Linked DNA regions of Elephas maximus indicus. The protein of the gene in region 3 purifies or fractionates together with the protein of the main gene of each other region. This does not show direct contact. Links are inferred from orthologs where the notes say so. Each region holds a gene or a part of one and is shown on either strand. Other genes may lie near its edges.

Region 1 (7,563 bases), on a different chromosome or scaffold from region 3:
AGAGGATCTGTCCTAAAAGCACAGGTGACACTTTAATCATAATCTAAAAACAAGCTTTTTCCCTGGGATTACCTAATTAATTATATAATATTTAAAAGACAGCTACTGCATTTAGGGACAAAAATCTATCTCATTTGAGGAAAATTTTTTAAAAGTTTTATCCTAACCATGAACATCATACTACTCATTTTAGCTAAGATGAAAACCAGTATTAGGTTACAGTCTAATTCTAGTTCCCATAAAGACCATTAAAATAAAAGCGCCACAATATGTATCACATTCTGGGACTATATCAAAAATAAGGCAACATGATATCACTGTTCAAGGATGTCAATTTGAGAATGAAAAAACAGACCTGGAATTCTATATTAGTTCCAGAACTACACTCATGACCTATCACATCTGCTCTGGGTGCCTTCTTCAAACCTCTAGTTACATTCTTCAATACAATACCAGTTGTGCAGGTGTATCTAACCATCTACCAAGTGAGCTGAAATCAGGGCAAACTGGCCTGGTAGAGGGAACAAAAGTTTCCGGGTCAGAAGACTCAGGTAGGAATCCAGACTTTGCCCCTCAAGGTATATACAACCTTGAGCAAGTATTTAACTCTCTGGCCCCAAGTTTCCTACTACCTGAAAGAAGCGCAAGACCACTAACCTTGAAAATTATTTTGAAGGTCAAGTGCTCCTGTTAGTGTTTTAATTGCAGCAGATGCCTAATAGGGTAACATTCTTACAATACTAATGGACTGGTTCACAAATTATTATGAAGTGTCTCATGATGGGCATCCGAATTAGACTGAGATTTATCAAAGTCGTAATTCTTTTTGCAATCTTTTAAAATAAGGTTTTTTTAATATATAGAAATTAAAATTTTACAGAGTTTAGAAATACCTTTTTAAAACTGACATTTTACACAACAAAGATGGAGCCTCAATTATCAACAGTCACTTAAACTTTTTTTTTTTTAATGTTTGGGGTACTAATATTTATTCAAATATCCCATGGCCAAAACCTTTAAAACTTTCTAAAGAAAGCTGTATTTTAGAGCCCAGATACAGCCCAGTTGTCTAAACAATGGGCTACATGATACACCACAGACTCCAGACAAAGTCACAACAGGATGAGAAAAGAGCCTCCAGCCTCTCTCAGATTTCCTGCCCACTGTTATTTTAAAACTTGATCACACAAACATAAACAGGGAAAAAATCCATTTCAGATAAGCCTCTTGGGTTATGATGTAACTACTGTGGAAAGATCGTATATGAACTCTTTTTAATACCTTGCATTAATTTACTTTAAATATTGCCAATAGCTCAGTACATTTTTCTTACTCATGTTTCCAGGACTAACGAAGAATATACAGTACATGTACATTCTACACACTTTTACATTACATATCATGTTCATAGTTTTTAATCATGACCTATTTTTTTAAGTCTTTTGTCACTTCTGCCACTGCCTTTTAAAATCAGTGTTTGAAAATAAAAATATAACTAAAAAAGTGGGGAAAACAAATAGCATGTCAAACAGATCATACAAATGTAACAACGAATTTGCATAATACTAAAATGACTTCTGTTTACCACTCTGCATGTGATTCCTGTGCAACCGAACATACTCAAAATAAGCTGGATATTTAAAAGTCAATGAGCTACTTTGAAGGGCTGTATTGTTTCAAGCTCTGATTACAGCTCACTTCGTATCATTTGTGGTACTTTTAAAACTAATGATTAAAAAACAACAAGGTAATTCCACTAAACAATTTCCGGTTGGAAAATCATAACCCCAGACGTCTATTAGTTCAGTTAATTTGTACAGAAATGCTATTTTGCTGCCAACCTTTGTACCCTGACAACTACCAACCCAAGTTCAAGATCCACATTTTATGGTGTAAGGATGGTTTCTGCTAAACCTTAAGAATGTTAATTTTTAAAACTCTCAAGCACTGACTATATTTAGCGATACTGCAGCTACACCACCAGAGCACAACAGAGACCAAACTTGTACTCAGAATGTGTAATAATCTATTAAGTTCGTGCTGTGGTCCTAGCTCCCAACTAAGATCTGCAGATTCGATTTTAAGCATTCCTCCACCACATATTTTATGCCAGATAAAACGTAGGGTGTTTCCCGAAACTGTATAAACGTATTTCTGACACGGATGTTCTAGTAATAACACTAACAAGTTATTCTCTACTTAAAATTAAAATTCCAGACTTAGAACATTTTAATCATTTTAAGGAGTTTTGGAAATTAATAAATACACACATGAATTAACATACTTAAGGTACTGGACAATGTGCGATTGAAAATACTGCTTTCGAGAGTCCCAAACGATTCTCCAAATGATTAAACTAGTAATGATAACAGTTGATCCTCGCATCCCAGAACAAAATGCACGCTTCTGCAGTGAATTTTAAGCTTGTTTACAAAAGAGAAAATAAAACTATTATGGAGCGTCCAAGTCAGAACCGGACACCTGAGTGTTCTATCTCTACCTGGGAACAGGGAAGAAACACAAAAGTACCTCGGTGATGATAAACCTATAAAAGGAGAGTCTCATTGTCTATCTGTGGAAAAGAGAACCACCTACGACACTAACGCGAGCCGTCGCCGCTTGGGCACGCTCGCCGCCGGGTCCCACCATCACCTGTGTCGCCCACCCGCGCGTCCTTGGGAAACAAGCCGTCCGCCCCGGGACGGCTGGAGAAGGCCCCGAAGCAGGGCCAGAACAGGAAAAACGAGGCCCAAGCGGTGCAGCCCGCAGCGGGGACTCGGGGACACTCACCTGTGCGGGCGCAGAGGCAAGCGCGCGGCGACGGGGTTACCTGTCGCCGGTGAGGCTAGAGGACGCGGGTGCGAGTGATGAGGACGAGGGAGGAGGACGAAGACGCGTACTAGCACAGGGACCAGGTGGCGGCGGCCAGGGCCGGGATCCTGCTCGCTTCCTGCTCGGACAGGTCCCGGGTCCGTCTCCGCCCGCCGGCCGGCGCCCCGCGGAGTTCCCGGCCCCGCCGCCGCGCACGTCACGGCTACGGAGCGCCCGAGGGGGCGGGGGCGCGGCGGGCCGGGGCGGGCAAACGGGGCCGCGCTCCGGGAGGGGCGCTCGGCGCTGGGGGTCGCCCCGCCCCTCGGTCCGCCTCTCCTGGCGGCGACGCGGAGCTTCGAGGGTCACGGTGGGGGCGCCGCGGGGTCGGACTGCCCCTGGCCGAGCTGAAAGTCCCTGTTCCTCCCCTGGGAAACGGCTTCCTTCGCAATGGTTCTAGTTTCCAGCCCCAGGAAAGCAAGTTCTTTCCAGGCTCGATGGCGTGACTATATAGTCTGGCAACAGCAAGAATTAGCGCAAAGCGGGAAAAAGTTGTGCGGAAAAGAAGGGAGGACCCCAGGGCTGTGGATGCGTGCGGCTTCGCTGAGCTGGGTTGCCCTACGAAGGCAGTAGCCTTCAGTAGCAACAAACTTGCTATTCTGCTTTGGGGGAAGGGAGCCTGAGATGGAAATTTTTGACTTCCCCTAACATTCCCCTCCTGCTGTTATTTATTAGAGCCCCTATCATCTTTTACTGTTTTTATAAGGGACATATCTGTGGATTATATTTTAAAATTAAATATGAAGTAGCTATGCAAATTTGAATTCTGTAATGAAAACGTAAACCGTCTGTACGACGAGTGGAAGCTGCTTTTACGAGAATAAAATGGTAATTGACTATAATGCTGAATGTCTCAAATGAAAAAAAAAAGTACAGATTTTCCCCCCATCATTTCCAATTAGCAACTTTGAAATTGAAGAAAATCTAGAAGATTCAGAAGAGGAGAGAAGTTTCAGATATTCGGATGTTCTACAGTTTTCTCAATGGAGAAACTACAATTAAAACAATAAAATTTTAAGAATTAAATAGGGAAGTAGGAAAGAGGAAGTGAAACCAAGAAAGGAAATAATTTGCAGCAATCTTAGAAATTTAATTCCAGATTGCCAGAAAGTAAATCTTGATATAAAAACTCAAGACTTATAAATGAATTGAAAAAATAATGAGGAGTAGGTGAGGAGGAAGAAGGTAGCATGCTGTGCTTCTTTCACTTCTTTGACCTCATTTTGGACTTAAGATTAAAAAACCTTGGGAAACCAATAGAAGCAGACACATTACAGTTTTTCATGAGTAACAACTTCTGTGACTTGCTCTCTCTTGTCCTCCACTTCTAAACCATTATGGAGTCCCTTTGCTTCTAGCTCTACCTATATCTCAAAAAAAAAAAAAAACTGCTGTGGTCAGCCAATTCTGACTCATAACTGCCCCACAGGGTTTCCAAGGAGTGGCTAAGTGGATTTGAACTGTCGACCTTTTGGTTAAGAGTTAAGAGCACCCGAGCTGTTAACCACTTCACCATCAGGGCTCCTCTATATCTTCAACACAACATCCAATTCCTCTTTATAGCCACCATCATTATCTTGTTTCAGGCCAGGATCGTCTCAGGTCTTGTGTACTGCCTTAGCCACCTAACCAGCTTCCCAGACTATAGCCTCATTCCCTTCTAATTCAGTCTCCACAATGCCACCAGATTTATCTTTTATAAAATACAAATCTTATTATGTGCTTCTCTATTTAAGCTCCTATGATGGTGCTTTGGAGACCTGGTGGCACAATGGTTAAGAGCTCAGCTGCTGACCAAAAAGCAAGCAGTTCAAATTTACCAGCTGCTCCTTGGAATTTCTATGGGGTAGTCCTACTTTGTCCTACAATGGTGCTTCACAACCCATAGTATAAAGTCCATACCCCTTAAAGTTACATAAGATCCTTCTTGATTTAGTTCACCAGTCACAAACTATTTTATTTGGCCAACACAGTAGGGATTTCTTTCTTTCTTTTTATTTTAATTGAATTTGAATGCCTTTTCGTTGGTCATGCAGCCCCCTGGTTCATCGCACGCCTGGTGAAGCTGTTCTACAGCAGCCTTCATACAATGTTTCCTGCCTGTCTTTGGAATCGTTTGCATTTTGCGCCACTGTCATATCTTTACTTAACTGTGTAATCTCATTTCTGCCCACACTGCCTTCCTCCATTTCTTGTACTTTACACTCCAGCCATTGTAAAGTGCTTGTCTGTCCAAAAACAGACAGCAATGCTATTTATCACATTGTAGCAGTGCTAGGCTAAATGGAATTAATCCTTCAGAGCAGAATTTATTTGTCCCCTCTAAAAAGCTTTCCCTAAATCCCTTTATACCAAAACCTAGGTACAAGTCTCTGTTCCTTCCTATTGCTCTTTTAACACCCATTGCACATGTCTCTCTCAACATTTATTTCAGTATTGCAGCTTCAGTTGGCATATAAGTCACCCCCACCTGGACTGAAAGCTACTTGAAGGCAGGATAGTGAACTTCACAAACACACTGACTTTGACATGGTCAACCAAAAAAAAAAAAAAAACCCTGTTGCTGTGGAGTCAATTTTAACTTATGGGGACCCCATGTGTTACAGAGTAGAACTGCTCCATTGGGTTTTCTTGGCTGTAATCTTTACAGAAGCAGCTAGCCAGGCTTCCACGGTCCCACTGGGTGGGTTCAACCTACCAACCTTTAGGTTAATTATAGAAAGCAAACCATTTGCACCATCCGGGGACCTTTTCACATGATAGGCAATCATTAAACAGTGTCTACCATTATTATTATTACTATTGAGTGAATGAGACTGATGGATGAACAAATGGCAAGAGAGTTGACAATTCTAGGAAATTCCATATATACCTGTATTTATGCATATGCTTTTTGCACTGTGTCTTATTTGTTGCCAAAATTCATATCATAATTTATTTTCTATTTATATTTGTAATTGTCTCATCTTTGCTCTTGCCCATTAAATATTTGTAGGGCTCTTCCCCAGATTCTGCCCCAGAGATTTCTAAGCTGAGACTCATCAATCCAGTATCATAAACTTTGAAGGGCTCCATGAACCCCTGACACTATATGTGAAATTTTGTGGTTTTGTTCCTTCATTTTTATAGGAAACCGTGACATGGGTGTTTAAATTGTCTTTACTCTTTGCTTAACTGATAATCATCCACTTTAACAGGTCCAACTGCATCTGTGTCACCAACTCCTAAAATAAAGCAGACTAAATAACCCACAGGTACATGACAGAAAATCATTATCTTTCCCTTGCCAACTCCTTCAAGCAATTCCCTTGCAGACAGAGCCTATTATGATTATGGCATTACCAGTCACCAGTGTCCAGAAGTTGTGGTTTTTAAGTTACCCAACACTCCTTCCTCTTCTTTACTTCTAATTTCGTAGTCATGAATTCTAGTTCATTCTACTACATCATAAATTATTTCCAAGTTGAGGCCTTATTCTCCATCTTCCCTTAGTACGGGCCTTCACCAGTTTTTTGCCTTTGTCTCTGCTCACTCAAATTCATTCTCTGTACCGCCCTCCCCAAATCCAGTTATGTCACTCCTTTACCAAATCATGGTACCTTTCAGATAAATTTAAACTCATTCATATGGAATGATAGAACCCTTCACAGTACTGAACCTAAAGCCATAAAAAAAAAAAAAAAAAAGCCATAGGAATTCAAATATCCCATGCCCTTTCCTGACTATTCCTCCTACATAGACTTTTTTCCCCCTCCCGCCTAATCTAAGGAATTCATTCCCCTCAGTCTTAAAAACTCCATTCAACTATTATTTTCTCTGTTCTGACTCTTTCACAGAATTCTTTTTTCTTTACCTTATTTTCCAGTGCACCACTTCATTTCTATATTGTACCACTTATTAAGGAGTTTTATAATTGTGAGTGTTGCTGTTAGGTGCCGTTGAGTTGGTTCCAACTCATAGCAATCCTATATACAACAGAAGGAAATATGGCCCAGTCCTGCTCCACCTCACACTCACCGTTACGCTTGAGCCCATTGTTGCAGCCACTGTGACAATCTATCTCGTTGAGGGTCTTCCTCTTTTTCACTGACCTTCTACTTTATGAAGCATGATATCCTTCTCCAGGGACTGATCCCTCCTGATAACATGTCCAAAGTATGTGAGACGTCGTCTTATCATCCTTGCTTCTAAGGTGCATTCTGGTTGTACTTCTTCCAAGACAGATTTGTTCATTCTTTTGGCAGTCCATGGTATATTCAATATTCTTCACCAATACCACAATTCAAAGGTGTCAACTCATCCTTGGTCTTCCTTATTCGCTGTCCAGCTTTCACATGCATATGAGGCGATTGAAAATACCATGGCTTGAGTTAGGCACACCTTAGTCTTCAAGGTGATATCTTTGCTTGTCAACACGTTAAAGAGGTCCTTTGTAGCAGATTTACCCAATACAGTGAGTCTTTTGGTTTGACTGCAGCTTGCATGGGTGTTGATTGTGAATCCAAGTAAAATGAAATCCTTGACAGCTTCAGTATTTTCTCTGTTAATCATGATATTGCTTATTGGTCCACTTGTGAGGATTTTTGTTTTATGTTGAAGTGTAATTCATACTGAAGGCTGTAGTCTGTGATTTTCTTCAGTAAGTGCTTCAAGTTCTCTTCACCTTCAGCAAGCAAGGTTGTGTTATCTGCATAT
Region 2 (7,051 bases), on a different chromosome or scaffold from region 3:
CCCCCGCTCTACGGGCCCCCAGTGCTGATGATGGCCCCGCCGCCTGCGGCCATGGGGCCCCCAGGGGCCCCCACAGGCCGCGATCTGGCCTCTGTGCCCCCCGAACTGACCGCCAGCAGACAGTCGTTCCGCATGGCCATGGGAAACCCCAGTGAGTTCTTTGTGGATGTGATGTGAGCAGGGCCCCTCTCCACTTCCACCCCCATCCCGGCCGCCTGTGCCCCTCTCACCCACCGTCCGTCGTTTTTTACTTTGTCTGGTACCTGAAAGGGAAATAAATGGAAGGAAATGACGGCGCGCTAACTGTTCAAGGGACGCACTGAGGGTGGGGTGCACCCACCGATCGGCTTGGTACCCACTAACCTGCCTCTGGCCCCAGCTTGAGCTCTTGGCCCACTGACCGCTGAGCAGGATTTCCGCGATCCTTCGTGCCCTGGGCTGCTGTCTCCAAGTCCCCCAGACTTGCCGGTGCCACCCTTAATCTGGCCCTCACACATACACACTTAGGAACTAACCCTAGCAGCCCTTGGAGGCCTCTCAGCCCCTCGTCCTCTCCCGTCCCCCTCAGTTCCATTTCCCCATTCATTCAGCCCTGTCATCCCTCTGTTGACCTAACCCCTCCAGCACTGTGCAACCTCGACTTTGTCCAGCAGCATCGCTTCCCCTCCCCCCGGACATTCACTGAGCCTGCCCGCCTTAACTGTCCATTGCCTGTGCCTCAGTCCTGCACCCTGGAGCCGGAGCCACTTCCAGTAACCATCCATGCCATCCCTGCCTATGCCCAGCCCTGACCAGAGGCCCAGAGGGCCCCTGAGCTGCCTGCGTGGCACCCACCCGCCCTGTCCCTGCTGTGTCTGGCCTGCGTGCTGGTTCCTTCAGACCCCTAACCCTACTAACTGGCAGGCCTGTCTCACCTCTGGGCCTGAAACATTTCTTTTCTTTCTTTTTCCTCCCCCAATTTTTCCTGGGTCTGGAGCAGCCAAGAATTTCGGGCTGTTTGACTTTCTGTGAGCCCCCTGCAAAGGGAGGCCCAGCCTCCGAGGAGACCAGGAGCCCTGCTTGAAGAGCCCCTCAGGGCTCCCCAAGGATATCCAGCCCCCACACCTATACTTCACTATTGAGTTATTAGGCTTCCTGTGGAGGGCCCCAGCCTCTCACACACAGTCACTCGTGAGAGACTATGCTTGCCTCTCCAGAGATAGTGTTCTCTCTCTCTCTCACACACACACGCACACACACACAACGCACACGCACACACACACACATGTGCCTATGCAAGTTCACTCAGCCTCAGGGCTGGTCCCTGCCCAGAGGGCTGGATCCCTCTCTCCCAGTCCTCTCTCAGGTTGTGGGGCTGGTCCCCTGACTTCCTGCTCCCCTTCCTTGTACTCCTCAAGCCTTCCACAGTTGTCCTCATCATCTTCCTACCTGGATAAAACCCATAAGCTGGTTCTCAGGCTGGGCTCAGCAGAGGCACAGACCATTCTCACACATACCCCTCCCTGTTTTCACATTTGCGGTGACACCCCAGAGCCAGGACACAGGAGCTCACAGGCCAGTTGAGGTTGGGCAGGGGGACTTCTGGGACTTCCAGACAGAGTGCCAGGTTTTTTTTTTTTTTTTTTTTTTTACCTTATTCTTCACTTTAACCAAGTCATGACTGCTATAAATTCTCCTGGCTCACCTAGGCTCACTAAGGCACCCATATTTTCAGGGCTGAGGTATCAAGAGTAAGATGAAGTCCTTGGTTCCAGGCTTTGGGATGAACCAAATGCCAGGCATTTTGGCATTCATTCACTCAGCAAATACTTCCTGGGGCTTTGGTAAGCAGAGTGCTGTGCTGGAAGTGTGACTCAGTCTTGCTCACCCTCTGGGAGCTCTGGGTTCACTCTCAACTCAGTCCATGGCTTCCTGTTGATGCCACTGCGGGGCTGTCTCCTGCACTTCTCTGCCCTCTCTGACTGCCTGTCCAACTCTTGAGAATTCCTCTGCTGTTGCTCATGCCTTCAGTGTCAGTGCCCCCTGCTGTTCTATCTTTGGTCCACTTCTTTTTCCTTTCTATAAGACTCCCCAAATGGCCTCATCCATCATTATGTCTTCAGCTGCCACTGATATGCTGGTGATTCCCAGGTATATATCCCCATCCCCAACTTCTCCCCTCATCTTTAGGTCCATATTTTTATTACCCAATGGACATCTCCACAGACATATCCATGTGGACTCAACATGTCATCTTTCCCGCCAAGTGTGTTCCTCCTGAATTCCAATCCTGGTTACTTTCATCACAATCTACACAGGTTCACAAACTAGAAACGTTTCTGGGTTTTAATTCCTTCCTCCCATGTCTTACCAGTCAGCATATCATATCCATTCCATTCCAACAATCGTTCCTGAATTTGGCCCTTCCGCTCCCGTCTGCCTTTACTTATTTAGTTTGTTGGACCACGGAATTTGGAATCAGGTTGTTCTGGGTTTGAATTCCAGCTCTACTACTTTTTGGTTGTGTGATCTTAGGAGGGCTGTTTAACCTCCCTGAGCCTCAGTTCCCTTGTATGTAAAATGACAATAATAATACCTACCTCACAGGGTTGTTGTGAGGATTTAAATTAGATATTGTACGAAAAGTGCCTGGCACAGTACCTGGCACACAGTAGAGTAGGTGCTCAATAAATGGTGGCTATTATAATTACTGCTATTACTATTATTATTATTTAGTAAAAAATGATAGAAGTTTTGGATACGTGTGAGGAGCCCTGGTTGTGCACCGGTTAAAGCACTTGGCTGCTAACCGAAAGGTGGTTTGAACCCATTAGCCACTCGGAGGAAGATGTGGCAGTCTGCTTCCGTAAAGATTTACAGCCTTAGAAACCCTATGGGGACAGTTCTATTTTGTCCTGTAGAGTTGCTTTCAGTTGGAATCGATGGCAGTGGGTAGGATATGTGTGGAAGATAAAGCTTTTGGAGAGGTAGGAGTGAAGCCTCGAGTACTAGTTCACCTGTACTCAGTCACTTAATGGCTTCAGGTTAGGACCACGGTTTGAGGAGGCCAGACCTTCCTTCTATCACATTCTGTCTTCTGGCAGGAGGAAGCTAAGGACAGTGGGATTTGCAACCGGGTTTGCTCTTTCTTGCCCTTCCTCCCAGGACTGGTGCAGTCCTGCCCAGGGAAGGCAGCAGGGTGTCTCTGCCTAAGATGAGGAAAAGCCAATAGGTTTCCTTCAAGGTCCTGCAAGAGCCAAGCAGGCCTTTCATGTTGGGGGTTGGCTCTGTCTCCTCTCAGCCTAGATGTGAAGCTTAACTATTCATTAGACAAGGGGTTCCAATCCCATGTCTAATTAAAATCAACTCGCCAGACATTTTCTAAGCAAGATATGCAGCCCGTCGCTCGGAGACACACAGCTCTCGGCCTTGAGGAGCGCACGGTCACGTAGCTGAGGTAGAACACACGAACGCTCACGAAAAGCCGTAGCTAATTTCTTGCACATAATTGTCACCTCCCTTCCTACACCCCTGCTTGAGTCTTGATCCCTGGGAAAAGGCTCATGGCTCGAATAAATACATAACGAAAAAAGTTCGTGAGAATCAGAGGTGATGTTAGAAAGCAGTCAAACTCAACACAAACACTTGTACCAAGTTGTGTGTTTATGTGTAAAATAAGGACAGCCAGTCCTCAGACCTTGGAAACATAAAAGACCTACAGCAACCCAAACCTTAACAGATGGTCTTCAACAAAAACGTCACTAATCTCTGAGCCTCTCCAAAACGCTTAAATAGGCACAGGAGGGATTGCAGAAACTACACTTCCCAGAATGCTCAGTGGAGAAAATCAGGTGAGGGGGAGCGGCGTATGCCGGGATGTGTATTCAAAGAGTGGCGTGGAAGATGGGGGCGGTTTCCCGAAGGCTGTCGGTAATTGTAGTTTTGACAAGTCTGAACCGCTTACAATGGTAAGGGAGAAGCCGAGAGGCCTGACGGGATTTGTAGTCTCCGCGGGGCGGAGCTGACGCGCAAGCGCAGCTGAGGCCAGGGCGGGGCCGCGGCACTGCGGTGAAAGCCGAGGCAGCGGGCAGGCGAGCAGGGGGCGGGCGGACATCTTGGGATCCGGGGAGTGGAAGGACCGGGTGCCGCCGACACCAGGTGAGCTCGGGATCTGACCTTACCGGCGGGAGGAGGGCGCCGCGGGCCGTCTGCGCCGTCGCCCGGCTTTGCTCTTCCCCGGCCCGCACTCCGCGGAAAGCTGCCCACACCCGGGAGTGGCCTCAGCCTGCAGGCCCGGGGCGCGGCTGCAGGACGGGCGGGAGCGGTGGCCTCCACCTGACCCGCCTGGCGCCTGCCGGGACAGAGACCGAGCAGAAGCCGGGTAGAGCAGGACACCGCGCGGCGCGCCCCATCCCAGGATCGTGATCACCCCCTGCCCCTCGGTACCTTCTCTCAGCGCAAGGACAATTTCCCGGCTCCTAGGACAGTGACACCCCCTGTGCTGCCTCCTTGGACTGTGACAAGTCTCCCACCCCGCCGCACTCCCTTCTACCTGTTCAGCGACATCCCCAGCTCCTCGTCCTCAGACCTGTGACAGCCCCCGCACCCCGTGGCACCATCTTTTCCGCCGTGGCCCCCTCCCTAGGGCGAAAACACCACCACCCCCTCCATATCTCTGCACCTAAGCCCCAAAGCAAGCTCCAGCTCCCCGCATTGCCATTCACCACTGTCAGTCTCTCCCTGCCGGCCACCCTTCCCACCCCCAAGGCCTTGACCTTTTCCAGTCTCCAAAGTCTTTCTTCCCTGTGCCCCCACCAGCCCTGTTTGCTGCTGTGGGCTGCTGGAGTAGCCTGCCTGGGCTGTTGCTGCCAGCCTTTGCCCCTGACTAAATCTCCCGTTCCTGTCCCAGGCTCCACCTCTGTTTCTTTGTCGCCCGGAGCTACTTACCACTTCATACCCGTGAACTCTACTTCCATTTTGTGTTTCTCTCCCAGCCTCTTTGGGACTGAGGGATGGGATGTGGCCGCCACCCTGAGAAAGCCCTCACTGGTCCAGGAGACCTCCACAGCCGCAGTAAAAGGCTTCATTATGCAGTTTAGAAAAGCCTGCTAAAGTCTCCGCTGTGAAATTAATACCAGGGCTAATCCAGGCAACCTAGAGCCAAATTAACCCTTTTCATCTCTCAGTCCAAATTCATTTGACCCAAATAACTTGGATAATTCAGGCATTTCTGATAGGCCTGCGCCTTGGTTATGGGCACTCAGGCCAGACGTGAGCTAGTTGGTGGGTCTGGAATCACTGAATTTCAGCTGGAAGGATCTCTTCATTTTATCACCCTACCCCGCGCCCCCCCGCCCCGCCCTTATTTTTATTGCAGTCTAGAACTGAGAGGGAGCCTACCTTATTGAAAGTAGTTAGAAATAACTGTAACGAGCAGCTTGTGTCATTGAAGCAAAGTCTGCCAGGTCGGGGGCCTTTCTGGCCTCCTATTTGCCTGCTTATCTGACTGCCTGGGAGAGGCTGGAGCCACACTCCTGGCCCCAAACCAGGGCCAAAGGCCTCCCTTCCTTCCTCCTCTTTCCCCCACCCTGCACACCCTTTCTTGGAACGTTAAGGCTTCTGTGAATTAGAGATCCACGGTTCAGGCCCTGCCAGTGTCTCAGAGGGGTAGTGGAGCCTGAGCCCCAGGCCTGAGCCATCTGGACTAATTCCTGCTGCCATTCCAGCAGCTGCAGGCAGCCGGCCTTGCAGTGACTCACAGGCTGGAGCCTGAGTGATTCTGCACAAGAGGGGGCCGGAAAGGATCCTAGCTGGGCTCAGTGCTGGCAGGAGGGGAGGGGGCTACTCTGGGCCCAGCCCCAGAAGAGGGAGGGTCCAAATTGCCTTAGAATCCTGGGCCGTTCCAGTGTGGGATAAACAGGAACTGGAGGAGGCTGGCTGAGGGGAGGGGCATGCCTGGAAGGGCTGCAGGGTCACTTGCTGATGGGGTTGAGTTGGGGGAAAAAAACCCTTTGCAGGGCTGTGGGCAGGGGTTCTGAGGCCTTCCTGTACCCTGCCTCCCCCTGTCCTAGGTCTGTTCTAAGCAATGGGCTGCGGAGACTGAGCTGCCACCATGATTGGGGGGCTGTTCATCTATAATCACAAGGGGGAGGTGCTCATCTCCCGGGTCTACAGAGATGACATCGGGTGAGTGAGTCCCCTGGCTGAGCCAGCTGTGCCCCTGCCACCTGAGCCCCCCTCCCCAGCATGTGGGACCAGGTCTCTTCCCTCCGGAGGGTTGACTTGGGCCACCGCCTACCCTCACTGCATCCTGGAAGCTCAGCTAGTACAGCCTGGTTCCCCTTGGGTCTGGTGATGGTGGTGGGCCTGGCAGCTAGCTTGCAGGCCGCTGGGTGAGATTTGTAGGGTGGTGTGGCCTCCACAGGCTTCAGGGCTTCTGCCCTGCCTGCCTCCCTGTTTCCCTTAGTGACAGACCTGATTGCTGGAGGCAGTTGCTTTTGCCAAGCAGGTTGGTTCTTCCTTTGAGGAGAGGGATCGGTCTCCAATGGGTGGGGTCAGTGGCCAGGCTGGAGGTACTAATCTGTTCTAAGTTTTGTTCTTAGAAGCCCTTCTCATGTTGGGAGCCTTCCCTGGGCTCTCTTGGAAGCCTCTCCAGGCTGCAGAATCCTCTTCCACCTCCCTTTCTCAAGATAAATCAGGCTGCTGACTCACCTGATTTCAGTTCCTCTGGGCCATTTCTGGAAGAGAGCTTGTGGCAAGCCTGAGGCACTCACTCTAAGGTCTTTGCTGGAAGGAAGGATGGGAAGGCCATGCTGCCCTTTCTGGCTTGTCAGAGCAGACCCAGAACAGCTCCTTGTCCTGGGTCCCTCAGGTCTTAACAGGGATCTACAGCCTTACTCTCCATCTGTTCCACCATGTCCACCACTTTTCTTCCCTGACTGAGGGGACATATTCTCACCTCGGCAGCTCTAATGAGATTAGGCTCCACTTGTTCTTGCTACCCCAGTTGGACCTGTTGCAGTGCTCCATGGCTCCCTGGCTGATGGGCTGGCCTGGCCACGGTGGCTGTTTG
Region 3 (7,956 bases):
GGGGCAGTTCTACTCTGTCCTCTAGGGTCGCTATGAGCTGGAATTGACTCAACAGCAACAGGCTTTTTATCAGCCTAAACATCCTTAAAAAAAAAAAAACCGCATAACTTAAAATATTAATATTCATTTGACGCAGATCCAACCCTCAATGACAGATCCTTCAACTGGTCAATGTAGTTAAGGCCTACAAAAATAAATTCATTTACAGTTCAGGTTTTGAAGCTATAACGAGCTAAAGCTCCAAACTTAAGTTCCTCATTTCTTGTTCCCAGTTTTTATCCAAAGCGTTTCAGAAAGTTTTCTGCTATTTAGCAAGCTGGCAGAGGGTCAGAGGTCAAAGACTTAAGTTGCCAATTAAAATAATTCTTATTAACTAAAAAAAAAAAAGGAGAGGATAAAGATGAGAAGTCAGGAGATAATTATCCTGGAAGAGGTTGATAATTTGACTCTCTCTGCAATTTAATCATTATCAGCTCGAGCATACAATAGCTAAGTTTATCACTCCAAAAAATGGATATCTTTTTTTTTTAAAGTATATTCACAAAGCTACTTTATACTCAAAACTTTCAAATTATTTGAGAAGGAAATGGCTTCACTCAAGTAACTGGAGAAACTTCAGACCACTTAGAAATCAGGCCTGTATTAAATGTCTTCAGTTGGTGATAAGGCTGGATTCTGTTTTGTGCAATCATTTAACAATTCTTGTCTCCTCTTTAATAAAAATAAGCTATTACTCAAACCACCATCGGTCAACCAAAAAGATTTACTAGTGGGTTATATCATGGATTGCCATGAGTTGAATTCAACTCAGCGGTAACTGATATGCCTCAGCCATGTAAACTAAGCAGCAGCTGTACCTGCTTCTCTTGTGTATGACTTACAAACATTCATCTACAAAAAGGCTTATTTCAAATGCACTTTACTGTGAGGAAGAGCCTGCGGTTTCCGCACACCTAAAACCAGTATTTTTCTAACCCTCCATATTCAATTACCAGCCCCCTTTAACAGAGGTAAACACAGCAACTGGATTGAACATAAAAAAATAATTTCTCCATGTCCATTCTGTTACTTAACGTTTTTAAATCCTTTGTAATATAGTGGTTTTATTGCCGAGGTATATTCCATTACTTCAGATGAATTATTCTGCAAACTACCGATGACTGAAGGAAGTACACTATTTAACTAGTTTTACAGGTAAAGGTTTATTATTCATTACAATTCAAGTCTTAAAGAAAAAGAATTTCTTGATGCAAGTTAAAATGATAACAGCTGTAAAGAACTATGAAATTATGTTACTCACATCTTGAATATTAAACCTTTTTATTAACAAGAATCCTCCGGGGATTCTTGTTAATGAAATGGAAGAAAGTAAATAAAATTGCCTTGAATGGAAAAATATCCAATAGGTTACTAATATTAGTGTTATGTGTATACCACTGGGTCCTCTAACATTATGTATGAAACTTGCTCTTCAGAAGACTGAGTTTAGGCAGACCTCTTTAAGAGGGTATGTGACAAGAAAACAAGTTAATATGAATGAATTATTTCAGCCAAAATGAAAACTAGATAGAAGCAGGATTGGTGAACTTGGAAAATCAGAAGCTCAAAAGGCTTAATTCAGTCAAGCCCTCCAATGATCACCTGCCTAGCCCAGCCAGGACATGCTGCCAGATAAGACAACAGTTACGTTGCCTCCAGGATAAGACACGGTAGGGAAAAAATTCTAGAACCTACTAAAGGGAAGCCAATTACAGACCAAACAACCCTGGACAAACGTCTCAAAGCAGGTGTGCTCTATCCCCATAGCTGTTTTAATTCCAAAAAATCCTGAAGGAGCTACTCACGCCAAGCGCACAACAATCTGCTAGACTCCAGCAGACCCCAAAATAACCTCTGAAGAGCTCCTTCCCTACCTCCTAGAACCAAAGAGGGGCTAAGAGACACACCACTCCTAGAGAAATCAAGAAACGGAAAAAGGCTAATTCCCCCAGGGACCTTGACCCCAAGCACCCTGAGATTGACACCGCCCTGAGAAATACGTTCCCCCATTCTAAACTCCTTCTGTGACCTTGTTTCTACTGCCTTAGGGAAGGCAAGATACAAGGCCGCCTCCCCCCCGCCCCCCACCCCGGGGGAAGGTGCCTTTCCCAGTTGAGAGCCGCAGAGGGAGGAAGAAAAAAGGTTGCTCCTCCCCAACCCACCCGCCCCACAACTCCTTAGTGCAGACACGAAGGTGGAGAGGGAGAAAGGCAATGAGAAATGACAGCCCCCGAATGGCCCAAGGGGTAATGAGAATCCATGCTCCAGGAGAAACAGGAGAAAATCTCTCCCCATCCACCTACCCAAATGAATGAACGGAAAAAAACAAGGAGGGGGGAGTTAGTACATGCAGTTCTTCCCATCCAGGAAGCAAGGTAGAGAGATCCTGAGATCCAGGCCTAGCAATGACGCCCTTTGCACCCTGACTCTTGTCCTTTCCAACCAAGCCTCACAAGATTTCTTTAACCCGTTAAGCTTTCCAAGACAGGCCCCCCTCCATCTATCCCAGGCACCGACACCCACCACTCCCACCCCCCGATACCGCTCTTTCTGCTTAGGCCTATACTCCAGCTTCTTCCTTCCTTCCTACCCTCTCCGCAGCCCTCACCAGCCCGAGCCCAGCCGCACCTGGAGATGCTCCTGAAAACGAATTGGCAGAATCTGGGCCATGGCGCTGTCGGGGGGTACGGTCTCCTCCTGTCACTGGGACTGCGGGGCAGCGGCTGCCCGGGCTCTCCAAGGGAGAGGAGGAGAAGGGGGAGGGGGAGGCTGGGCTCAGTAGGATACTCTCCGGGGACGCAGGAAACTGGCAGGCAGACGAAAGAGCTCGGGTCGGGGGCGGAGGCTCCAGGGGCCAGGAGAGCCGCAATGGCGGAACCGGGCGCAGCGCAGACTCCGGAAACGGCTGAGCCCTGCGGAGGGATCCCGGCGACAGAACTCCGCCCAAGTCGCCTCACCCCCTCCGCTTTATGTACCCCTCCACAGAGTGCCGCGATACTGCCGGGCGGAGGAATTAGGGGCGCAGTGCGCCGAGAGCCTCGCGTACTGATGCTACACGGGTGTTAATATAAGCACCGAAGGGACTACTTTTTGGACTCATCACTTTCCCCCAGCCTCCTTCTATTCCCTACCCCCCCTTTTTTTTGCATTTTGCCACATCATGCGACAAGGGGCAACTACGTCATTTCCGTGGGCGGTTCAAGTCCCACCCACATACTTCCGGGCGCACGTGACGCTGGTAGGGAAGGGTCGGCTGATCGCTGCCGGAATGAAGAGCGGGTTCTCGGGAAATGCGGAGTCTCCTGGGAATGAGGTGGCGGTTGGGCCACCTTAAGGAGCGGCGGGTGCTGCTCCTTCCCCTGTGACCCTTGCCTATTTAAACTGGGTGCCTTACGAAGACGAGGCGTGGGCTGATGAGCCCGATCTCCCACCCTGTCCGTGACTCAGGGAAACTGCTTCCCCGCAGAGCGCTCTCTTGGCAGCTAGCTGCCGCACTCCTCCCCCGCCTGGTTTTTTATAGTGGGTGGTTTCTTACATCTCCAGGACTGGGGCAGCGAAATGGGGTTTTAAATCCTCGCAATCACTACACACGCGCTTCTGACGGTTGGAGAACATGACGCGCGGATTCTAACTAGAACCAGCGTTCTCCTCGGGTGTTAAATATTTGGCTCAAAGGACAGTGAAGGCCATTTATGAGGTATCTCCAGCTGGCCTTGTGATAGCTTCTCTTAAGGTTTCTGCGGACATTTTGGAGGACATCTATCCGCCTAGTTTAGTAATCAAATAGTCCAGTGTAAAGAGTTTGAATATCATAAATAAGCTAGAAGGTCTGACCAAAATTGTAGCAAGAAGCTTTTCTTTTTAGCTACGTCAAATCATTCTGAGTCTCAAAGATTTGGATTATTCAGTTACGGGTGCTTGAAAGATTTTTCCTACGTGAGGTTAACGTCCACGCGTGGAGGAAAGGGATGAACTATTAGCCATGTATTTCAGTGGGACCACCTCAACAGTGCCTCTAGGTTTAGCAATGTTTGGGAATATAAATGCTTCAAAGACGGGGCATCGTATCTTCTAACAGCATTAAGGTATCTACAGCATTCATTGTCCATTAATAATAACCTCAGCACCTTATTGCTAACGTATAAGGTGTTAATAGTATTTAATAATTGAATCAATAAAGGATAAAGGCTTCTGTGGCTTTCATTTCTTGTAAGATGTTATTTTTTCGAGAAAAACTCAAATACACAATTTTTTTAGTGCCTTTTTCACTTAAACATAAAACTATAATTTTGTTTTCTATATTAAGCAGTTTTGCTTAGTGTGAAAAGTCTCCTTACTCATTTTAGCTGTTTTTGTCTCACTAAGGATGAGAGAAGAATGTGTGGTAGGTAAGAAAGTGATTAGAGACTGTTTTGTAAAGAAAAGCCTTGCCACCATGTTACAAGAGAGAACATCTATGCTGAGCAAAATTTCGTTTTGTATTGTTAAACCAAATACTTGAAGATGTGTATTCTGCAACATTTGAAAGCATCTTTCTACTACGAGTCTAATAGCTGCTTTAAATCCTTTTTGGAAGTAGATCAATCCTCAGAAATCTAAGGGAGCTACTGTTTTATTATAGTCAAAGGCACTAGCTTAATCATTTCAGTCTCAGGTTCTTGGATACAAGAGCTATATATCATGAATCAGCTACCAATTTTTTTCTTCTATTAGTGTCTTGCATTTTCGTACAGACCCTGTAATTTTAAAGTATATTTGAAATCCCAAAAGCAGTTGATTTATCTTGGATACTTAGTATGGAGTATCTAACAAAAAAAGTGTACTGAGTTTCTCTTAAAGTGACTGCGGTGTCATCATACACAGAAATCTAATGAACGCATTATTTTCAGAAATAATTTGAGAAGAAAAAATAGACTGCAGTATACTAGTGCATTTTGAGCACTATAAACAAATCCAATTTTTTTCAAGAGTAAAAAGGTCCAGATGGTAAACATTTAAAAAAAAATAAAACTATGCCTTTTAAAGATCAAAATTTGGGTGAGGTAATAAGACATGCTTTTTATGCTGTTCTTTAATGGTGTAGAGACAGGAGAAAGGTTGAGAATCCCTACTGTAGAAACCCGAAAGGCTGAGGCACTGTTAACAGTTACTACAGCAATACCTAAATAAGCCAGGAAACAAACCCTGCGACCCAGATTTTTTTTCCCCAACTATCACATAGTCTTTTAATAAGACTGCTGCTATGAATGAATCATAACCCTGGTCTAGCAAGGTACCATGTTAAATAAATGGTCGACTCTTTAAATTTGAAGCACTTTTTAACCAGAATGTTCATCAACAGTAGGCCCTTACCGTCAGTCACAGCAACTGCCATTAGCAAAAACTACATTGCTTGGTCTGTTTTGAGGAGTGCTAAAAAAACCAAACCCAGTGCCATCTAGTCGATTCCAACTCATGAATGAGGAGTGCTAGTTTCTCAAAACCTATACAGCAAACCTTTATAGTGCTCCTTATTTTATACCAGGAACTAATTCCTAATGGGAATGACATCTCAAAAAAACCTTCATTGTAGGATTCCTCTGTAGCTATTATCTTCAAGCAGCCCTGGCACTAAGGTTAATAATGCCTTTTAACTTGACATTTTAAAAACAGCTTGGGCTAGCTGCATTGCATGAGTCAAAACAAAGGCATTTCTCAGACATTACAGATTAATTTTAAAGTAAAACTTCAACTCACTGCACCAAATAGTTGATAATTAAGATTTTAATGAAACCAAGAGGTATATACTTTAGCATTGTCCAAGTAAGATAAGTAGCTTTGCCATTTAAACATTTCAGTCCCCTAGAGCCACTGATACAAATCCCAGTAGGATTATACCCTCTGGTCTTTTATCTTTTCAAAAATGATAAACAGCAGCATATCAAAGGCCAGTAAGAAAATGAATATCCTTTAGGGCTCAGGTATTAATCTACAGTGCCCACAGTATTTTGGCCCTGTACAAAACCCAGTGCCATTGAGTCGATTCCAACTCATAGCGACCCTGTACAAGGCACTGATTATAGGCAAGACTCCCTCAAATGAATGAAACATTTAAAAAGCAAAAATTTAATGGACTTTAGCATGAAGTAGACCTGAGCTTATATTCTTGACATCATTCACTGTTCAGGCTTATCTTAAACCTAATTTGTAAGACAAAAAAACCAAACCCGCTCTAGTGCAGTTGATTCAGACTCAGCGACCCTATAGGACACAGCAGAACTGCCCCACAGGGTTCCCAAGGAATGGCTGGTGGATTTGCACTGCCACCCTTTTGGTTAGCAGTCAGACACTAAACCACTGCACCACCAGGGACCAGGGCTCCACCTTTAAGTTCTATAAAATGTTATGGATGGCAATAAGATCTGTATTAGGATTGAGCATGTTCCTAGTGAATAGTTAAGACTAACCCTGTGGGGATCTAACCTGCAATCAATCTATCACACTGTATAGGCCTCTCCTTTGTTTTTATAGGTGAAATCAGATCCCAAGCAGAGGGATGCGTGGCTGATAGCATTACCTTAAAAAGTTATCTCAGAAAAGATGGTCCTCTTCAAATGTAGAGATGCACAGAGCATTGTGGACAGAAAAACTCAGAAGAGTTATAACCCTGATGATCAACAGGGAGTCAGATGCCTTTTCATATCCAAAAACAAAAATTACAAACTTGAGAGGATCTATAGAATGAAGGGGCCAATTTATGGTGATTGAGGGTAAAGGTATAGGAATGATTGTTATGGACTGTTTTTCTCCTTTCTAAATATGCAGAATTGCCTCTTTTCATCTCCTAGAGTTATTACTATTTCCAGTTCAAAGCAACACATTACCCACACATGTTCCCTCAGCAATACTGAAATTTTTCCACACTCCTAGGGATAGTTTTGCCACTACCAGTGCACACCTGCAGCGTTATGGTAGTAAATTCGCTCTTCTTTAGAACAGAAAGGACTGTGATTTGGTAAATAAATTTTGGTTAACTCAATAATAAAGTTTCAAGGAATTATCTAATTTACACCAACATTTTTGAATACTGACAATGTAAAATTATTCAACATTAAAATCTCTTAAAAGACTTTTGGAAAAAAAATTAATATGGAGAAAGCAATTCTGAATATTGAAGGCCTTGGGTTCATCACTAAAGAATTTTTTTACGGTACTCCTACAAAAGTAGGAACCCAATCTGAATCCATTCCAAACCTAGGACACACTAGAAAAAAAATTTTTTTTTAATGCTTTACCTCAACTTGTCTTGACTGATAAAAGATTATGTAAAACAAAAAAATCTGGTTATATTCTTTTCCTGGCTGTATAGATTGCAAATAACTGAGTTTAATGTTGTAAACAGCCATACAACTAGTATTCGTTCCACACCACTGCAGAGATGAAAAATATATAGCATTCATATGAGCCTGCCTCATATTTATTGATTTGCACCAACAGGCATGAAAAAGTCCTTAGATTAGTTCCACCAGCCACTCAGATACAAAGCTTTCCACGTGGTGGAAATAAAAACTAACGTTATAAAGACAGCCTTTCCCATCTCTATTTTAATTACTATCTAACTGAGCCACCAGATCAGATGTGGAGATAACACTTCTCGTTACTGAGGAAGGCTTAGAAATTCTATTTCTTTAAAAAGAACTAAATAGAATAGCAGACGGGCATACAAAGCTAGTCTATAAGTGGTGCACACTAAAAAAGGAAAATACCCGTTTAAACAGAACTTTCCAATTTTTCTATCTGCAAGAATGAGTGCCACTCAAATTATTCTCCATTTGACCTAATGAGTATTAACCCAAGTTACAGACTGGAAATAGGAAAACCATAAAGAAGAAGCTGGCACCAAATAAACTCACGAGAAAATGATGGTCCACTGAGTCA
Region 4 (7,025 bases), on a different chromosome or scaffold from region 3:
TATGAGTTGGAATTAGCTAGACAGCAACGGGTTGGGGTTTTGGTTTAAAACCATGGGAGGAGTTTTCCCCAAGGCTGGGGTTAGTGTGGATATCCTCCTCTCTCCTCAATCACTGCTACAGTCTGGGTATCCTGTACAACACATCAGAAACAGAGCTCCCACCTAAAATCTCTCAATTTCCTCATTACATCCCAAAACCTATAGGCCTCAAAATCCCTTTCTGCCCCACCTCCAAGGAATAAGAGTAGCTGGAATTCACTGGAGTATATACCAGGTACTCCATGTAAGCACTTTACAGGTACTCTCTCATGTAATCATAACAACCCTACGTGGCATATGCTATGCACCTTTTACAGAGAAAATTGTGGCAGAGTGGCGTTAGCAGTTATGTAACTTGCCTGACACCACAAAGCTAAACATTCAAGCAGCCTACACAACAGCCCACAATCTTAACCACTATACTAGAGTGCCTCTTTAAAAAAGAGAGTGTGTCCAACTAGTTATCTAATCCCCAAAGGAAGTGCTGACCACTGCACTATTACCAACCTCAACCACACTGTCAGGAATCTGGCTTTCAGTCACTAAATGCTTAGTTCACTAAGAAAGTCCTTCCTAGAAACTAAGTCAGCAATCATTCCTTCCTTCCCTTTGCTGAAGGCTTGATGCAGGAGGGACCTAAGTGTTTAACTCTATTCTCTCTTTACCATCACACTAAGATCTGCCAGTCCTATACAAGACTGTTGGACCTGACACTTTTTACCCACTCCTTTGACAAACAGTAAGCACCAACTATGTACCAGATACCCGCTAGGTATTAAGGATACAACAGTAGGCAACACTGTCCTTGAGTCAGGACAACCTCCTAACTAGGTATGCAGTAATGACCCCTAGTTCATGGGGCCCTGCTTCTCTTGACTCTGTCCTACCCAGAGCAGCCACAACTGCCTTTCAGAAATGACAATCTTTGATTTGTAAACATTCACTTAAAACACAATAAAAATTATTAAAAAAAAGAAATGACAATCTCTCATCCCACCACACGCCTGCTAAAACAACTGTAGAAGAATGTGTGTACAGTCAGGGTGGAATGACTTGGGGCTCAGCTATTAACCTGCCTTTTTTCTTCAGTCACTTCTCTCAAGGACTCAGTTTTCTCTTTTATTAAATGATGAGAAATAAATCAAGGATCAAAAAAGTAAATTTTATGATTCTCAGGCAAATGTTAAAGACCATCCCATGCAAATACTACTTAACTACTTAAAGCCGACTTCATCTCTCAGTCACAGTCCGGTTCAGTCCAACCTGTCTATATAAATTATATATTCATGGTCATGATCATGGTCTGGCCAATTCTAGAGAATACTAAAGGCTTGCTTTTGGGAAAATATCCCTTGACCCCCATTCTTTATGGTACCACTTTTGATTCCCAAGGCTCTTCTTGGGGGAATGATTTGCTTAGGAGGCAGCACAGTATAGTATAGAGAACTTGGAAGCTGCAAACTAGCAGTCCCCCATTCTCCCTCAGATGTTCTGCTTGGCTGGCATAATAATTTGAGATTTTTGAGCCTGAATGTTTTTAAGCAGAGCCCTACTCTCTACTGCACTGAAGTCTGAGTCTCCAAACTTCCTTAATGTTTCACATTCAGCCTGCTTATCTCATTTATGTTACCTGCCAGGTCCCTTAACAGTTTGAGTTTAGGTACAGATACCCTTATTTGCCCCACAAATGTCTTATTCCCCTTTAACTGAAAGTTTTTTAAGTAAATGACAAGTCATGTCTCGTTTCTTCTGGCTGAACTCCCTACACCACTGAATAGGTCTCTTCCACTCACCTTTCCTCCCACCTGTACAATTCTAAGCATCACACACAAGCAAAGCATTCAAAGATCAAATCAGCATCCTATCACCATCCCTGCACCCCCCTCCTTTTTTTGCTTTAGTTTGGCTGGAAAAAAAAGCCAAACTGCATTCTCTGTTCACCTCTTCTTCCCTCCCTAACTGAACCAGGCTAATCTTAGGTTTCGCCACACCCGGCTACCAAAGGTGTTCCCAGAGGAAGAAGAGCTCCAGAAGTCCTCCTAACATAGCTCAACAAATGCTAAACTCCTGGACGTCTTTGGTTCAAGTTTCCTTCTCCAGGGCTAGACTTCCTTCTTGAGCTCCCCATTCACTCCTCCTTCCTTCCCATAGCCTACGTGCTGTACACCTTAAGCGCTTACATGCTGAATTTCATAGTTTTTGTTTGTTTGTTTAAATATCTCAAAAACAAATTACTACTCTTACTTTTTCTGCCCCCCCGTAACTGGTTCCCTGCTGGAGTAGACTTGCCTGTAATCCTGGCCAAAATGCGCTAAAGCGACTGTTTCAGAGGCCAGGTTCAAGACATAGCAAGTGCTTAACAAAAACTTGCTCAACTGAACGGGCTTCCCATCTTAAGTACCACCCATTCTATCTTCTTTGGTTTCTCGCTCCGCCCGCGCCCGACAGCAGTCAAAGAGCCGGGTAGGCTTCCCCAGCCTAGGTTTCCGTATGACTGGGCCGGGGTCTCGTTTCCTCTTTCCACTCCTCCCTAACCTCCTGGTTCAGCAAGGAACAGGAGTTACACAGAAGCTCTCGGATCCCCTATGTCCTGAATTTCCAAACGAGTCCCACCGCCCCAGCACGCCCGCAATCTCACCCGGACCCCCCGGCGGCTCGCCGTGCGGCTGGGGCCCGAGGGCGCCGCCGTCCAGGATGGCGAAGGCCTCGTCGTTCTCGATGCCCGCAATCTCACTCTCTTGCTGCGCCAAGAAGGCCGCGGCCGGGTCTTCTTCGCCGGTGCCGGCCACACCATTCCCCAGCGCGGGGCCGCCTGGGGCGCCGGCGGGGGCGCCAAACGGATCCATCTCAGCCATGGCGGACAGTTCAACGGCACGGACACTGACGTTGGAAGACACACCAACCGACCCACCGACACCTCCCCAGGAAGCGGTCGCTTTGCTGGCGAGTACGCTCGGAGCACAAGCGGAAGGAGGGAGAAGGCGGAAGCGGAAACCCTGCCTCTATATCCGGCTGGTCTAGGGCGCGTGGAGAGCCGAAAAGAGAGAAACCAATGAGAAGGTAGAAATCGTTCAAGAACTACCCAATCAGCAGGAGGAGAGGCGGGCCTCGGAAGAAAACTCGTGACTCGGGCTTCTCCCAAGAGGGAGGTGAGCTCCGCGGTCCGAGGGGAGGCGGGAGAGGCGCTGGACTAAAGCCACGGTATCTGCCCCGCCCTCGGGAGCCGGAATGATCAGGGATCGCCACCTCTGAAGGGAATTCTTGTCCTGAACCAGGAGGTGAGGTAAAGTTGCGGCTGTGGTGATTGGCGGGTTACAGAAGAGGCAAGCCAGTTATACTGAGCCTCGGTTTCCTCATTTGTAAAAGGGCAAGAATCCATGCACTTGCCTCCCTCCTTCCCTATAGGGAAGACTCCGTTTGTGGATATGGACTGGCTATATGTATTATTTAAAAAACTTGTTAACCCATTCATCCAGTCTGGATTTTTTTCTCTTTTAGAGTCGATTGACATAAATGTAATAGATTCAAATCCGTTCCAACTTTTCTCCCTATAAACATTTTTATAAAAAGACGAATGTATCGCCTTTTAAAAGCACTTTTGCGGACAGTACGTCTTTTCAGAGCTATAAGGAAGTTTTTAGAACTAGAAATTCCACTAGGGATCACCTCGTTCATAGGAAACTGAGATCCCGGTGTGTGAGGGATTCAGTCACGGGAAATCAGTGGCCAAGAGGAGACCCAGGTCTCCTGGGGACCACAGCACTTCTGTGATGGTACCAGCCACACCCCTTATATGTGCACACCTTTCCCAACTAAGAACAGCAGAAACTTCCCTTAAAAAAAAAAAAAAGTTTCTTCAGTATTTCTTTTAAATCAGAAACTTGTTAAACATGGCTAGTTAATGTTGTCTGCATCATAGAAATTATAATAGAGTGATTCCAGTTAATCATGTTCATGATAATGAGGGATATTATGCAATGTATAATGGAAGGCCCTATTTCCATCATCACCACCACTGTAAGAACAGAACCAGAAACAAACTAAAAACACAACCAAAGGTCACAGATATCTCCAGAAGTAGTCAGCAAGGGACAAGAAGGTGGCTTAAAAAAAAAAAAATGTATATTTGATGACAAAGGATAATTATTTTGCTTAAAGTGTGTATTTTCTTTTTAAATCACTCTAAGTATGTAACATAGGAGATTTTGAAGAAGAACATTTAAGAAACTTAAAATGTTAGGGCCTGCAACAGACTCAATCTTCTTCTTCTTCTCGCATAAATTAACAACAATGTATGTAGTATCTACTTTCATAAAAAAAAAAAAAATTTTTTTTTTTTTTGAAACTACCCTGTGAGGAGGATGGGGCCAGGGACTACCGTGAGTAGGTCCAAGGGAGACAGCCTTTGGTTGCTCACTGTAATGGTAGCTGAGGGACTGAGACACATTCTTTCTACACCAAGTGCATGACTGGGGAAGCTATCCTGAGATTCCATTACTAGAGGAGGTATCAGATCTCCTCATGTCAAATCAACAAATATTTATTTACTCAAAATTGGGGAAATCAGCTGGTACGTTCAGGAATGACGTCACAGAAGAGGTAGCTTGCAGCTTAGTTTTGAAATATAGGTAAGATTAGAAAGAAGAGTTAATAGTGAGGGTCTAAAATTACTGTGGAATCCCTGGGGGGTGCAAACAGTTAAGTGCTTGACTAGTAGTCAGAAGGTTGGAGGTTTAAAACCACCCAGGTGTGCCTCAGAAGGCAGGGCTCGCATTCTGCTTCTGAAAGGCCACAGCTTTAAAAACCCTATGGAGCAGTTTTATTCTACACAGGTGGGGTTGCCATGAGTTGGAATTGACTAAGTGGCAGCTAACAACAAGATTACTGTAGGGGGCAGTGGTGGTTCAGTGGTAGGATCCTTGCTTTTCCTGATGGAGACCTGTGTTTGATTCCTAGCCATGTACCTCATGGGCAGCCACCACCTATCTGTCAGTGGAGGCTTTGGTGTTGCTGTATGCTGAACAGGTTTCAGTGGAGCTTCCAGACTAAGTTGTTCTAGCAAGAAAGGCTTGGTGATCTACTTCCGAAAGCAGTGAAAACCCTCTGGATCACAATGATCTGATCTACAACCCATCATGGGGATGGCACAGGCCTGGGCAGCATTTTGTTCTGTTATGTATGGGGTCTCCAGGAGTTAGGGGCCAACTCAACAACAGCCAACAACAAACGAGATTACTATTGTGCAAACGTTCAGTGGTGAGAAAAGGGCATGTTTAGATCACAGTGAATAAACTGGTGTAGCTGGGCCTGAAGGACTCAAGAAGAGGAATGATTTAAGGTAAACCTGAAGCCACCTACTGGGGCTCTGAATGCAGTCCAGGCTTAGGAGCCTTATTCACAGTAGGGAACTGCAGAAGATTTCAGAGATGAATGACATGGTGAATGTGCTGCTTAGAAGGTTAATCTGATCCCTTTGTGCAGGATCAATGAGCAGAGAAGTCCTGCAGTGACATGATGAAGGTCTGGATGGGGCAGTGGTATGTAACTGAATGGGGAGCATTAATGGGAGAATGAGTCCCTACAGAGAAGCAGCCGACTTGGTGTATGACTGGAGGAAGGGGCAGGGTGAGAAGCAGGGGGAAAAGATCACTGAGGCCATGAGTATGTGATATTGCTAGGGCCACTGGTTTGAGGGCTCTCAGAAGCTCAAGTGAATGATAGGAGACAGAAGAAGATATAAAGGGAGATGACCAGGAAGTAGCAAGAGGTGTGCTCAGGAGAGCAGTGAGACTACAAATGGAGACTGGAGAGGACTGAAGACTGAATCTTAGAGGACGGCTGTTTGTGAAGGACAGAGGGGTAGATTAGAGAAATTGAAGGGAAGTCAGTATAGACCTGGGTCATAGAAGTCAAGGAAAAAGAGTTTGCAGGAGAAAGAAGCAATTGGCAGAAAGGTGAAGAAGAGCAAGGGCTGAGCAGATGCTGTTGGCCATCAAGATGACTGGTGACCTTGGTGAGAAAGACATCAGAGGGTTCTGGAAGCAGAAATCATGTTGCACTGGATTGAGGAGTGAAAAGTGTAGTGGACAGCTGTTGATTTTGCCCTTCTACCATCCAGTTTTCCTTTTTTTCTGAAATCAGCACCCTGATTTTCCTTTGGGGAACCACTTATCCATTGGATGGAGTTGACCTGGACCATGTGGCCCAGGCCTGGCAAATTAGAACATTCCATCTCCTGGCCAAATGACTTGTTCAGGAATGGATAAGTGAGTCAAGCCAAGTCCATGAGACTCAATTCCAGGACTGTTCTAAAGTCTTTGGGAAAGCAGGGCTCTTTTGTTATGACTGATGAGCTGGTAAAATGTAAACTTGGATCTTCTGGTGATCGTCTCTCCATCAAGAGAAGAGAGCCAGACTGAGTGAAGCCAACGTAGAGGAAAGCAGAGATGAAGACAGACGGCTTCCTGCTTGCATCATTGAGCACCTGGATTCAGACATTCTTGAAGTGAGATACCTACTTTTGGACTTTCAAGTTCTGTGAACAAATAAACTTTTTTTTCTCCTTTAAGACAGTTGTGTTTTGATAACTTGTAAATAAAAGAATTCTGTCTGATATAGAATAAGAGATGAGGGTAAATGTAAATATAGAAGACTTTATTAGAAATGTTGGCAGCAAGGAAAGAAGGAAGAGCTATATTTAGGGCTATAACACCACGGGGACGTTTGTTAAGGTAGGAGACAGTTGAGTACATTTGTAGGTGAGGATAGGGAGAAGTTGAAGTTATATAATAAGGAAGAGGTGGTGGAAACAATAGACTGGGGAGAGAGAATTTTAGAGGCAAGAGTGAGGACAGACACCCCTGAGGGACTCAATTGCTTTAGGAAAGTGAGAACCAGTGGAAGAAAGGGAAGAGGTTTAGAATTGTCCAAGGGGAAGCTCAGTAGATAACGACCTTTATAAATTAATTGTGTGCCCCAGAAAGATA

What was found.
Region 1: the proteins of CLTC (region 3) and MYO6 purify together in Homo sapiens (affinity purification with western blotting; 4 studies listed by BioGRID and IntAct, with this or other methods). This does not show direct contact. The link is inferred for Elephas maximus indicus from reciprocal best matches to the Homo sapiens genes CLTC and MYO6.
Region 2: the proteins of CLTC (region 3) and AP2M1 purify together in Homo sapiens (affinity purification with mass spectrometry; 3 studies listed by BioGRID and IntAct, with this or other methods). This does not show direct contact. The link is inferred for Elephas maximus indicus from reciprocal best matches to the Homo sapiens genes CLTC and AP2M1.
Region 4: the proteins of CLTC (region 3) and CLTA purify together in Homo sapiens (co-immunoprecipitation; 6 studies listed by BioGRID and IntAct, with this or other methods). This does not show direct contact. The link is inferred for Elephas maximus indicus from reciprocal best matches to the Homo sapiens genes CLTC and CLTA.

What each region holds. Positions count from the first base shown.
Region 1 is NC_064819.1:139,187,007-139,194,569, reverse strand, and holds the start of MYO6 (unconventional myosin-VI), read right to left. Parts: upstream 3,029-7,563; 5' UTR 2,791-3,028; intron 1-2,790. UniProt on the Homo sapiens protein: Myosins are actin-based motor molecules with ATPase activity. Unconventional myosins serve in intracellular movements. Myosin 6 is a reverse-direction motor protein that moves towards the minus-end of actin filaments.
Region 2 is NC_064819.1:30,892,507-30,899,557, reverse strand, and holds the start of AP2M1 (AP-2 complex subunit mu), read left to right. Parts: upstream 1-4,031; 5' UTR 4,032-4,137; intron 4,138-6,050; 5' UTR 6,051-6,091; coding exon 6,092-6,165; intron 6,166-7,051. Other genes in the region: DVL3 (segment polarity protein dishevelled homolog DVL-3), read left to right, coding at 1-177.
Region 3 is NC_064837.1:34,475,615-34,483,570, forward strand, and holds the start of CLTC (clathrin heavy chain 1), read right to left. Parts: upstream 3,015-7,956; 5' UTR 2,710-3,014; coding exon 2,668-2,709; intron 1-2,667. UniProt on the Homo sapiens protein: Clathrin is the major protein of the polyhedral coat of coated pits and vesicles. Two different adapter protein complexes link the clathrin lattice either to the plasma membrane or to the trans-Golgi network.
Region 4 is NC_064827.1:45,041,389-45,048,413, reverse strand, and holds the start of CLTA (clathrin light chain A), read right to left. Parts: upstream 3,026-7,025; 5' UTR 2,895-3,025; coding exon 2,678-2,894; intron 1-2,677. UniProt on the Homo sapiens protein: Clathrin is the major protein of the polyhedral coat of coated pits and vesicles.